Drosophila melanogaster: one gene and its partner. The protein of the gene in region 2 interacts with the protein of the main gene of each other region in a biochemical or structural test. Each region holds a gene or a part of one and is shown on either strand. Other genes may lie near its edges. The genes, in order: Rab21 and Sbf.

Region 1 (5,630 bases), on a different chromosome or scaffold from region 2:
TGATAAATACCGATTTAAACACCTTATATAAATAGCTGAGTGCAACTTGTTGGCCGCCTTCACTGTACCAATAGCCGTAGTTCCCTGGCGAAAGGTGCGAACCCGATAAGGCAGTCCATTATTGATTGCCGGTCCGATATGTTCTTGAAACCCAACTACCAAACATACATAGCTCACACTCCACCCTGGCTGGAAAAACATTGGGCTAGATTAGAGATATCGTGCCCTGTAGCTCCACCTCCTGGAATCAAACTTCTGGCTCTCGCACTTCTCACATGGCCCAGGCAGCGCTTCAGGAACCGAGTTAGAAGAGACAGGACTACTAACTGAAAGCTAAATGGAGCTCAGAATCTGAGGTCGCAAATCTGCGAAATCTGCTGGACATTCGACTCTGGTGTAGGGACGCGAATTTCATCATTTCTCTGGCATATATATATGTATATAGATATTGGGGAATAAAATTAGAAGAAATTGTTTGATTGTTTAAAATATGGGCGTGACCGTTTTGGGTGTTTTGTAGGTGTAAGGAGGGGCGTGGCAAAAGTGTTTTTGGTATACCGACAGAAATTGGTAAAACAAACAATAAAACCAAGAAAAATCAAAACATTTTTCAAAAGTGTGGGCGTAGCAGTTTTGGGAGGCTTGTGGGCGTTAGAGTGGGCTTGGCAGCATATGGCCAACAATCTCGCGAGGCATCTATGTATATCTCTAGGACAGACGGACATGTCTAGATCGCCTCAGCTATTGATTCTGATTAAGAATATATGTATATACCTCATATAGTCGAAAACGCTTCTTTCAGCCTGTTGTTCTGTTCTGTTACATACTTTTCAACGAATCTAGTATATAGTATATCTAGTATATACACCACGAGTAACGGTTATAAAATGGAAGACTATCATATATGTACATACATAGCCCGAATATTATAGATTGGATATATTCTTAAATGGGTAAATACATACATATATGTTCGTTCACTTTTTGTTATAACAAAATAAAACTAGAATACTTATATATGTAACTAATTGTAGCCGAAAACAGTTTTGAAATTGGATTTCAATTAATTTCATTAATAGGAGAAGCTGTTGCGATGATATGATCGTTACATAAAATTATGAAAAAATATATAAAAACTTTATGTATTGTCTTCTATTGCACCATATATTTAAAGTGCCGTAAACTGTAATCTTGGTGCGGTTTAAAATTAATCACCTATCGCCTTGCAGAGCCATTAGCACCTCAACTGATAACGATGATTCAGCCCGGCCCCCAAAAAGCCTCAAAACAAGATAAGTGCAAGTACAAGATTGTTTATTACTGGGCGCTCAGGAAGGGCAAGAAAATCGAATGAAATACATATTTATATTTATTAATAAACAAAAATGTGTGAGGATTTTAAAGATCCATAATAGGGAATAATAAAAATACGCGTATTTATATTTATATCTATCTATGTATAATATATACACAAGATCAACATCGGTTAAAGGTCTACTATTTTATAGTTATGATTACTATCACAATGGGAACGGCTAAATGCCGCAACAGGACCGCTGGCCCGCAGGATCTCCGGGATCCGGGGCCTCCGAGTCATCGGAGTTGTTAAGGTTATCCGTATCCGGATTCTGGAGGCGAAGTGGACTCGCATCCGGTTGCCGTTGGCTCAACTGCTCCAGCATCAGCTGGGTCAGGAGCTCGAAGAGCTCAGCCACCCCCTCGTTCTCCTTGGCCGAAGTTTCTACATATTGAGCGCCAACCGTGCGCGCATATTGAAGGGCCTCATCGTGCGTTACTGCTCGCTGTTCCTCCAAATCAGTCTTGTTGCCGACGATTATTAAGGCAATCTCCGTGCCGCGCATTTGCCGGAGCTCCCGCACCCAGGATTTGACCTTCTGGAACGAGTCTCGGTCCGTTATGTCATAGACGAGCAGGGCGCCATCGGAGCCGCGATAGTAGATGGGTCCCAGGGCGTGGAACCGCTCCTGACCAGCCGTGTCCCAAATATTCAACTGCGCCCTTCTCCCATCCTCCAGGGACATCTTGCGGCTGACAAAGGAAGCCTGCAGGGTGCTTAGGTGCTGGGCATTGAACCGGTCTTCCATGTAGCGCAGCACCAGCGACGTCTTGCCCACACAACCTACAATTAAGGGGTTAAAGCTTTCAGGAACTAATTAGGTTTGTTTAGCTGCTAAACGTACCTTCGCCCAGCAGCACCGCCTTGAAATTAAGCGTGGGGCCGTTCCTCGTTCTGCTCGAGCTCATTGTGGTTTCCCAATAGCTAGGTGTCCTACCTTGATACGCATCAGTTTTCAGAGGACACGGAAAAACAAAAAAAAAACAAGAGGTAATCGAAAAGATTAGGTTTTTACGAGACCGCCAGTGTGGCTGTCTACCAGCACTATTGTAATGGCACTCGGCGATAAATGTTGAATAAGCGAGAAGTCACATACGTATCTGGCCACACTGCGGCCTCAAGCAAGGCCGAGAACTCAATGTCGCCGCAGTCATACATGAAAGATAGAAAATACAATTAAGCGATTTTAAATTAAACCATGTTTTAATTATGAGCAAAATATCGATGCATAGCCTAACATCGATATCAATAAAACCATCGAATGTATGCAGTATGGTGTCGATGAATCGATATTTTGCACGTTACTAACACTGAAGCACGCAGGGGTCCGGACGAAGCATAACATAATAATTTTTGGTTGTTATCTATTAAAAATTGCTGACCATGGCCTATGACTTGAAGAAGGAGTCAGACGTGAAGGAGTACGTAGAAAAGCTGGGCGTGGAATATCGATTCGGGTGCTATTCCGAGAAGAAGCCGGAAGGTGAGTGCGGCGGCGGCAGCGATAGCGACGGCGGCAAAAACAATTGAGGTCTATAACCTCCGATGTGCGGGAGGACAATTCGCGGGGCTTGAAGACATTGCATTTATGAGATAGCTAACTGGCGTTCTGCATTGCAGCGTGCCACTTGCTGGGCGACTACTTGGAGGGCATCAAGAAAGACTTTGAAAAGGCCTCCAAGGTGTACAAGTCGACTTGCGACGACTATGGTTACGCAAAGTCCTGCTACAAATACGGCAACTACAGTTTCCTTGGAAAAGGCAAGAGCGGTAGCAAGGGGAATCCACAAGTGGCCTACGAGTACTACGAGAAGGGCTGTAACTTAAACGACTCGGACGCCTGTCTTCACTCCGGCCTGCTGCTCGTTTCAAAGTCCATGCCTAGGGAGATCGACTGGAATGTGCCCAAGGTAAAGGTGTCGTATGGCGATCACGGTCCCAAGCCTTCAATAAAAGGCTAGCTCTTGGAACTGTTCAATTTGCTTAAAGTGCAACTATGTGCTGCAGTACATTCTCTCATTTGCCCCACCTGTTTCTCATTTGATCCTTGAAATCATAAGTCATTCGTATCGTGTCCAGATAATTGAACGTTTAATTGTAATTTTCTGATTATGTTCCAATGGATGTATAGACATATGTATGAATATAGTTTAGTTTGATCCAATTTAAAACTGTTCAATATGACCCCAGCAGAAAAGTGTTTAAATTTTATTTGATTTTGTGATTTGACATTATAATTTTACAACACCCGCAGGGCCTGGAGTTTCTGACCAAAAGCTGCGACTTGAACAACGCCACTGCCTGCTTTTATCTCTCCGGGATGCACATCTCGGGCGTGCAAAAGAAGGCGGATCAGAGTGCTGTCACTGCATCCTCCGGAAGTGGTACATCATCACCCCCCGCCGGACAACCGCCTTTAAAGGACTCCGACTATATTGTTCTAAAAGACATGAAGAAGGCTTTCCAGTTTGCCCACAAGGCTTGCGAGCTTCGCAATATGTATGCGTGTGCCAATCTTAGCCAGATGTACGCCCGGGGCGATGGGATCGAGAAGAACGAAAAGGAAGCGGAGAAGTACAAGAAGCTGGCCCTAGAAATGCAGGACGAGGTGAAGAAGCAGCATGATACGTTAGGGTTCCAGCAGGGCGTGGGCATGCCTAATTGATAATGCTTGATTCCTGATATTATCTGCTGCTACTGTTTTTAGACCTTGCTTCAGGTCAGGTCAGGTTTTTCTTTACCTTCTAGCCCTTTTCAGTAATTTTCAGTCAGTCTAATTTTGGTAGTTAAGCTAACTAACTTGTGTTTGAGATTTCTGTGTACATAGCTGGCACTTGCATGCGAAAGAGCGAGAAAGAGAAAATAAGTAACAATGGAAATTCCTAGATTTAATTGTTAAAGTTATTAAGTGATGATGAACCCTTTAAAAATTTTGTTGATACCTTATATGAATATACAAACAAGTCTTACCAAAAAAGTAGACAAAAATCTTCAGTTAATTGTGTTTTAGTTACGGTTGCTTGTGCACAAACTGTTGTTCTAATATTAATGTAAGAACCAGTACATTTTTCTGATCAGAATCGCCTGCTAATCCGACAGCCTCATTTTTTTTTTAAATCTAGCACATTATAACGTAATTAATCGTCTTGTAATATCTGCATGTCCTTTCCTCGAATACCTTCTCATGAAGATGTGCACTACATTCGTTCTAAAGAATGTAAAAGGAAAAATAATGTGATTCTGCTTCGTCCACAAGTCTAAAAAACTATTGCGTTTCTACACATACAAGTCTTTCAGGCGTAAAGATGTCTTTATAAAACATTCCCAAAATATTTTAAATTTGCAGCTAGAATATAAGTCGGAATGGAATCATATATGTAGATATGTAGCTGAGAGAAATAGTCGAAACCTTCGGGGTTTTTGATCAAAAAGTTATTTTTGGTTTATACAGTATATTAAATTTCGGCTGGAACTGGATCGAAATTGCTATATCTGCTTTTGGCTGGACCTAAATGAAAATTGGTCTACTTATCATATACATAGCTGCCATGGTAATAGTCGCACGAGAAATCCGAATTTCAAATTATTAAGGTAACTTAAGTTAAAGTTTAAAACAAATGTTCTTCAAACAATTTATTAAAATATGTGTATAAAATATTCGATTTTCTTTTCAAATTTCATTGGGATACTATACCAAAACGGTTTGTAGCGTTCGGTTAATGTCAGAGGCCATAAACTATTTAAGCATAACAATAGCTATTTCCTTTTAGAACCATTACTGCTCAAAGTATGAGGTATTCTGGTATTACTACCAACCAATCAAACACCTTAAATGCCTTTTTTAAAATTTTTATGTTAAACAAAAACAGCTTCTAGCAAGGTGGTAAAAATTTATTTTTCCTGGTAGCCAAAAATTCTAAAACAATAAGTACAATAATACCCAATTATTTGTCTATTAAAGAAACATTGGTTAAATGTAATTGTCATGATTTGTTTTCGAGAAATGGGCAAGATTTTGTTAACGGAAAACAATAATATTTTAAGCATATTAAAAAAAATTGTAACAAAAGTATTGACACAGGCGTCCCCGCCAAAGGAATAGGCAACACTTCGCAAAAATGTGGCTGTGATGAACTTTATGGGACCTCACAGACTCAAACTGTGTGCAAGTACTAAAATATCCCTGGTACGAAGGCCTTTTAGTGCCATTATGATAGAACTTTACAAATTCTTACAAATATTATCAAATTGTAAAATATTCATACGAATCATT
Region 2 (7,182 bases):
CGCTGGCCCTTAAAGCACCGACCCAAATGCATTATTGCCGCGTCACTGCACTGCACAGGGGCCACAATTATAGCCGGATAGGAGCGGCAGGTGGCGTAACTGGTATTGGCATTGCTTATACGGAAACCACGCTGTGATTCCGCATCGAACCCGAGTCGCTTCCAGTCCTGCACATAGCTCCTTTCTCGCATCCGTTCGACATCCTTTGTTGTTAGCAATCTGGGCATGGCATTGTTTTGGGTTTCAAACTCATCTCCATCTTCCAGTTCATCGTCGATGGACTGTGTTTCCTGCGCATCTGCACTTCCGTAATCATAATCAGAAACTAGTTTGCGCTTGGTCTGCTGCTTCTGCTTGAATCCAGCCTTTTTGGCCCCGCGGAGCAGTGTTTTTTTGGCAAAGCCCTTTAAGGTGGAATATTTCTCCTTGGTTTTCAACGGAGCCACTCCCTGGAGCATGGTGCCGTATGATTGAAACGCGAAGTACTCAAACTCATCAAACGGATGCCGCGCTTTGCTCAATATCTTTCTAAAGCTCTCAATCTGCTCGGGAGTTACTTCAGGATCAAAAGCGACCTTGATCAGTTGAAAGCTACTGGAACGCAGCTGCAGTCCTTCTGTCAGCGTTTGATCCAGATGAGCCAGGTACAGCACCGATATCTTTTTCTCCTTTAGCAGGGAGGCAATCGGAAAAGTGCGAACAATCACCTGCTCACAGAAGAGGGGATCGCAAGGTGAACCCTTAAAAATCACACGGTAGTTGGTGAGGAAAAGAGCTCCCTCGGCGGGTATCAGGCACTGGGTTTCATCTTCGCGTCCATCCGGCATAAGGAAGCAACGCAGGTGGTCTGTCACCAGGTCCTCCCCTGGCAGCAGGCATGGCGTTTGAATTTTGGGCTTCTGCACGTGCGGATGACGCTTAGCCTCCAGATATACCGGTTCCAGGGACTCGATGTGCATATGCACAACTCCCGGTACCATGTCATGCAAATTGCGTATATGCTCGGAGGTCACTCCACCTTCGGTACAAACGCAGTCAATGAAGCGTGAAATGGTTTTCCCAACCGTGACACCTATTTCCAAAGCATTGTTCTCCTCGAATCCTTCGTCGGAATGTTCGCTTAGGCTGTGTGAGCCCATAATACTGTAATTTAATAATTGAAATCATATATAAATATAAAATCAAAGTTAGAAACTTATCTCGTATTACCTATTGGAAACACTCTGATTTTCCTCTAGACGAAACGCCGGTTTCGGCTTACTGGCTGCATCCACATTGACATCCAGTGGAATTAGCAGGGAAACCATACGGTTCGCAAAGTGAATTGCCTGGCTGTACAAAGTTGACTCCTCCGATTTGGCCAGCTCGGCTTTTTTCTCCTCCTCGATGTTGGGACTTTTGCGCAGCTGCTCGGCTGTAATTTCAAGCGCCGTGGGCTCCTCTAGAGGAACTTCGTCCAGCACACAGTTGGCCTCCTTTTGATGCTCGTTCTGACGTCGGTGAAGCAGATACAACGCCTTTATTTGACCTTGGACATCCTGAAAGAAAGTAGACTCCCAAAATTGCAGGTTTTTCCAGATGGCGTGATCCTGTATCTCTGTGTACGCAAATTGCACTACTCCAGTCGAGAGCTTACGGCAGAAGATTGTGGACATGGGCAGCAGAGCCGCAGCCACTGTGTACTCATCAATGCCGGATGATTTTTGCAGCGCCTTGTTCATGAATCGCACAACTAATTCAAACTGTTGATGGTCCAGAACTGCCTTGTTGCCGTGCACATATCCAAAGAACTCGCGGCACAAGATCAAGCGCGCATCCCGATGCATTAGGGTGCGCATCACAGCCGGCAGCAGTTTTCTGGCATCTGTAATTCGATTCTCAAAGATGTATGACACACAGATCCGCAGCACCTCCAGTCGCCTAGCCGAGTTTTGGACATTGGGACGCACATCTAATGCCTCGGGTAACCTGGGTCCCATCGGAATGATACGGTGCTGATTACGTGTTACATGAAAGCGTTGTGGCACTCCGTTCTTTCGTATCCCTTCCTGTATGATAAGCTCAACCTTTTCCGAACTTATGCGCGGAAAGGCTGGTTGATGAATACGCTGGAATGCGCCTTCCGGCGGACGCAGTACTTTTTGGGCATAGCTGATGTGAGCCAGAGTGCCCTCATTTTCATATAGAACTCGTCCCAATTCCTGGATATGTGTGAGTATCTGAAAGTAGGAAGGAAAGGTAAAATTAAAATATCCCTTGAATCTTTGAGTTCTACCTACGAGATTTCGATTCTGCGCCTCCGATTTGAGCAGTTCGTTCATTGAGCTGTAGAGCTCATCCCAGGCATCGGAGGATCGCCAGGGAGGGCCTCGTTCGTTGACAAACGTCGTGAAAAACATGCTGTCCAGCACCCTAAACAGGAATTCGCTCTCTATCAGATCGCGGGCGCCGAGAAATCCTGCCTTATGGAAGGTGATCACCGGCTTTGGGTGGATCCGAATGATAGTCAGGCAGGAGCGATATCCCTGCAGCAGCTGAGCGAAAAGGCGCATGAATATGGCGCGAAGTTCCTTATCAATCTGGGCGTCAGTCTTAGCAATAGCTGAAGGCCGCTCTAATGTGGGAAACGCCAGATCGGCCTGCGCCAGGTTTGGAAACAGGATCATGCTGAGCAGGTCCTGGGTCTGTTCCCACAGCGGTGATGGAAGAATAGGAACAGGCGGCGTCAGCGACTCGGGAATGGTAACGAGGCCGCCATCCAAATCCACCACAATAACATCCAGTAAATCCGTAATCTCAGTTTGCAGTGAGCTATGTATGCCCATAATAAATGGCGTAGGTGTGGATAACACTTCCGTGAGTGGAGCCGGCAGAATTGGTATATAAACATGAGTATACCGAAAGGGATACATCAATGCCACCAAAGCTCTGCAGCTGTCCGTCAGGTGCCAATAACACTTAGAAAGAAACAGTATCTTGTTCTCTGTCATCACGGAGCAAAGCAGTATCAGCACATTCTTGATGCCCAGCTGCTTGAAGAGGAAGTGGACTCCACTTCCAGTCGTGGGCAGGGAGGAGCTCTGCGGAGGCTGGAGCGACTGCTTGTCTCCTGCTCCTATAGAGAAGCGCACCTGCGGTCCACCCGCTGGAGGAACTTGGATGCAGCCCAGAATGTTTCCTATGAGTGTCTCCAATCCATACGCCAGGTTCTCAATGTACACCGTGTATATGGTGCCGAGACAATTCTGTAAATTAAGATAATGGCTTAATTTAGTATCTTAGGTGGTCTGACTTTTAAACTCACTTTAAAGGTCTCGGCACAGTCCAAACGCGATATAAGCACCAGACACTTTGGTGCATACATGACGCTGTGGTGCGTAATGGAAGCCGGCGTGGATGTCGTTGTGATGCCATCCATCGATGAGGGTGTGGCTCCCAGCAGCCTGCTGCTGCCGATGGTCTCATCCTCGTCGTCGACGCTGCGCGTCTGTGTGATGGCCACCGTCTCATGAAAGCTGAGGCAGGCGCAGTAGTGCTTGTTGGCATCGATGTCCGTCAGCACAGAGACGAAGAACTTGGGCTCCTGCTTCTCGTACGATAAACTCCAGCCGAGCGGCTGGCAGAACTGTCGGAATGATAAGTTAAAATTCAGATATGCTTCGAATTAAGTGAGGAATGTTTCAAGCGCACCCACCCATTCAATGCCCTCGATAAACGGAGTGTCCGGCCAATCTTTCTCGGGAAAGCGCTGAACGATCTTGCCGCACGTCGGCTGGCCGCCCACATTGCTGGCAGTTTCTGGGAAAAGGGAAATTGTTGAATGTCAGAGAATTGCTAATTATGGCTGATGGGCATGTGGATGTACTCACTCTCCTTATCACTGTCGTAGCCGACTATTACGAAGTAATCAGCGAGCCGGGACATCTTGCCCACCACATAGCCGGCCAGTCGTCTAGGATCCTACGGCTCTTTACTAGCCAAATCTAGGAGAACAAAGAGTTGAAGATGTTTTATTTTGATTTTTTTTTTGTTTTTGTTCTGTTGCGTTCTTGTAGCAGGGGACAGCGGCAGATGGATTCTATTCGCCAGTGCCGTCATCCAATTTGATATGCTAATTAGGCTCCGTCTCTGCGCTCGGCATAAATGATTAGCTCCACGGAGATCGAGGGGCCGAATTGTTATTGTATTGTCTATAGCGCCCGGAGGCGTTTTTCAGGCTTTACGAGTCTTGGTCTTCACTCTTTTTTCTTTAACCACACCCCGCCACGCAAAGTGGGATCGTTCGCCGGGAATCGGACTGGCCAATCTATATATATATATCCGCGCACACACCTCGCAGCCGGCTGCAGCCGAAATCCCCGCTAACTGCCAGCAAATCTCAAAGAATTCGGGGCTATAATAATTATTTTTAAGTTCGCATAGAAAAAGATAGATGCAATACACAATAATTTTCACGAATTATCCAACACTTTCTGCATCAGCTGATTGAATGTGTCGATATTTGATTGGCGCTTTGAATGTATCGATAGTTTCGGACTGCGCTACAAATTAATCGGCGCGAACTTAAAAGATCAATTGGAAAATGGCAAAATTAATTTCCACTTAGCCTTAAATATTCATTAAACAATTTTGGGGAAATTATAATATAATTAATCTGTTGGAAAAATAGGAAACTTGTATACTACATTAATACTCCCCAGTATATAAATAAAAATCAAACGCAGCCTTCGTTGGTGACTTGATTTTCTTTTCAACTTAAATATAAATCACGATATTTTTCACATTATGAACTAACGAGATATAAATACATAATAACATTGATGACTAACTCGTGTAAGACGTAACTTAAGATAGATGTGTTTAGCTGATCTTTACAAACATATTACGTATACGTATCGTATTAACTATTATGATGGCCGATCATCTTGTTTCAAGCATGATTTCCGTTTTCTGTGTTACTTTTGTCCGCCGATGGACTTTGCTTAGATTCCTGTGGCGGCATGGTGAGCGATACAGTGCCCTTATCCGTGTGCTTTATGTGCTCCATTTCAATGTCCGAACAGTTCTCGGAATTGGATAGTGCCGAGTCCATGGAGGTGACGGTCATGTCCACGGCCTTATCACTAGAGTTCGTCGACAGCAGAGGTTTCTCCACCGCCGGCTTCTCATCCGCATCCTCATCCCGTGTGGGGGGCACGAAACTATTGCTATTAATGTCCTCGATGGCTTTTCGCAACTGTTTAATAAAACATGTGTTATTGTTATAATCATCAAGGATATCAAACAAGACTTACTTCTTTGAGTCCCACGACACCAACAAGTCTTCCGATTTTGGTGACATAGGCGTGGTTAATACCCACCATGGAAAACAACGAGTGAACCTTGAGTATGGAGGTGCGTTCCACCAGCTGAAATGGCGAGGGATCGATGTGGACATTGGCCTTCTGCAAATCGATGGGCTTCAACATTTCCTCGAGCTCCCATTGCTTCTGATCCTCCGGTGACATGTCAATAACACGTTCCCTGGGCTGTAAATCAATCAAATCGGTAGATATTATATCTTGATTGAAATAAGGGGTTATGTAATTAAAATATTCTAAACGTACCAATCGCACCGACTTCGGCTTTTGAATGCTCTTATTTGGGATTTACAAGATAGGAGAGAAAATGTGTATGTTAACTTTGAGAGTTAATGATTCATAATGCGTTGTAAGCTCGTTGACAATAGATATTAATCAAAAGTTTGCATCAGTTTTACATACCTCAGCCAGCGATTCTGGATTTGTTGTTTCATCCACATCCTCTATAGAGTAACCCAATACATTTTCTGGTTTTATTTTACATTTCGTTCGAGTGGGCGAACCATTTACTCCAACTTCGTTAGCAAACCTTATTTTCGAGCACCTCTTGGCCGTCTGAGGAGATCTATTTACATCTGCCACTTTATTTGCTTTGAATTTAATGCTCGGTGATTGCTTTGAACTATCTCCATTATTTGATAATGCTTTATCCGTGAAATCTTTCTCGGCAGGCTTTTTAAACATTAATCTTGAGATTACAAAATTATGTATAGATAGATATTTTAAACTGGCAATACTCTACTTCAATCTTCCACTGAAATTATTAAGTATTTCTTCTACTTCAAAAAGGCCCATAGTACTACTTCATGCGTGGATACTACCCTTATTTTATAATTTTACTTCGTTTTAAGGCTTACCATTTTATTTGATTCCGTTGAAATAGGGTTTACTTGCTTGCAGATATTAAAGTAAGTTAAACACACATATTCCGAGAAAATGAATGAAATGATATGATATGAATGTTGTTAGTGAGTAACTTACCAGCATAATTTGATCTGTTACAAAATCCCAATTACTTTGTGCAGGCTTGAAAAGAGAGATTTCCTCTTCCGGTTTACTCAGCAACTTAGATAACCCAAAACCCAATTTTTATGCGGTAAATAGAAAATATGCACCTACCAGCTGAACCTTTTTGGAAACACCGGGAGTGCTAGGAGTTCGCGGCACCTCCACCTCGTGGTTGCTTGCCGCCGGGGAGAGGGAACCCGTTTCCGGATCCGGCTGTACGTCCTGGAGCGTGGTGGACTTCTTAAATATGGCCTCGAAGGCTGAGCGAATGCGGAACTCGGAATTGCCGGTGATCGTGGTGTAGGGCGTGATGCTGGGACTGTGCCCCATGGGCTGCGCGTAGGTCTTCAGGTTGAAGGAGTTGGTCTTCTTCAAAATGGACTTCCTGGGCGCCAGCGAACCGTGCATTGTCTCCGCCCTTTTCTTGGGCGGCAGCATTTCGTCGTTGGCAATCTGGCGTAAACTGAGAATATCCGGAGCTGGAAGGACCTCGAATCGAGATGGTCGCCGCATCTTGAGCTCCACTTCCTGTTTCTTCTTCTCCTCCTCGAGGGCTCTTTCCTGAGCCTCCTTCTGCCACTTCTGGGCCACCTCCATTCGCTTCTCGCGTCCAATGTGCTTCTCGATCATTTTGATCAGCTCGTACCGCTGCACGGAACCCAGCAGGATCATGTTGTCCGGGCTGTCCACCAGTGGCAAGGATCTCAGCGTCTTGTTCAGCTTGAGGACTTCTTTGAGCTTCTGATACGAGATGCCGTGCCATATGTACTTTACATCCCGCACCATAAAGTCCTCGACGAATATGCTGTACATC

Evidence for each region.
Region 1: of the proteins of Sbf (region 2) and Rab21, one has a biochemical effect on the other in vitro, tested with the Drosophila melanogaster proteins (one study listed by BioGRID).

The regions. Positions count from the first base shown.
Region 1 is NC_004354.4:23,010,842-23,016,471, forward strand, and holds Rab21 (Rab21), read right to left. Parts: upstream 2,569-5,630; 5' UTR 2,454-2,568; intron 2,424-2,453; exon of another isoform or gene 2,295-2,423; 5' UTR 2,266-2,294; coding exon 2,202-2,265; exon of another isoform or gene 2,141-2,201; coding exon 1,536-2,140; 3' UTR 1,299-1,535; downstream 1-1,298. Other genes in the region: Coa7 (cytochrome c oxidase assembly factor 7), read left to right, coding at 2,741-2,840, 2,978-3,267, 3,612-4,022.
Region 2 is NT_033777.3:11,792,512-11,799,693, forward strand, and holds the start of Sbf (SET domain binding factor), read right to left. Parts: upstream 4,438-7,182; 5' UTR 4,333-4,437; intron 3,984-4,332; 5' UTR 3,925-3,983; coding exon 3,870-3,924; intron 3,799-3,869; coding exon 3,695-3,798; intron 3,626-3,694; coding exon 3,305-3,625; intron 3,246-3,304; coding exon 1,210-3,245; intron 1,144-1,209; coding exon 1-1,143. Other genes in the region: ClC-a (chloride channel-a), read right to left, coding at 4,931-5,236, 5,295-5,528, 5,607-5,636, 5,763-6,032, 6,218-6,253, 6,342-6,386, 6,480-7,182.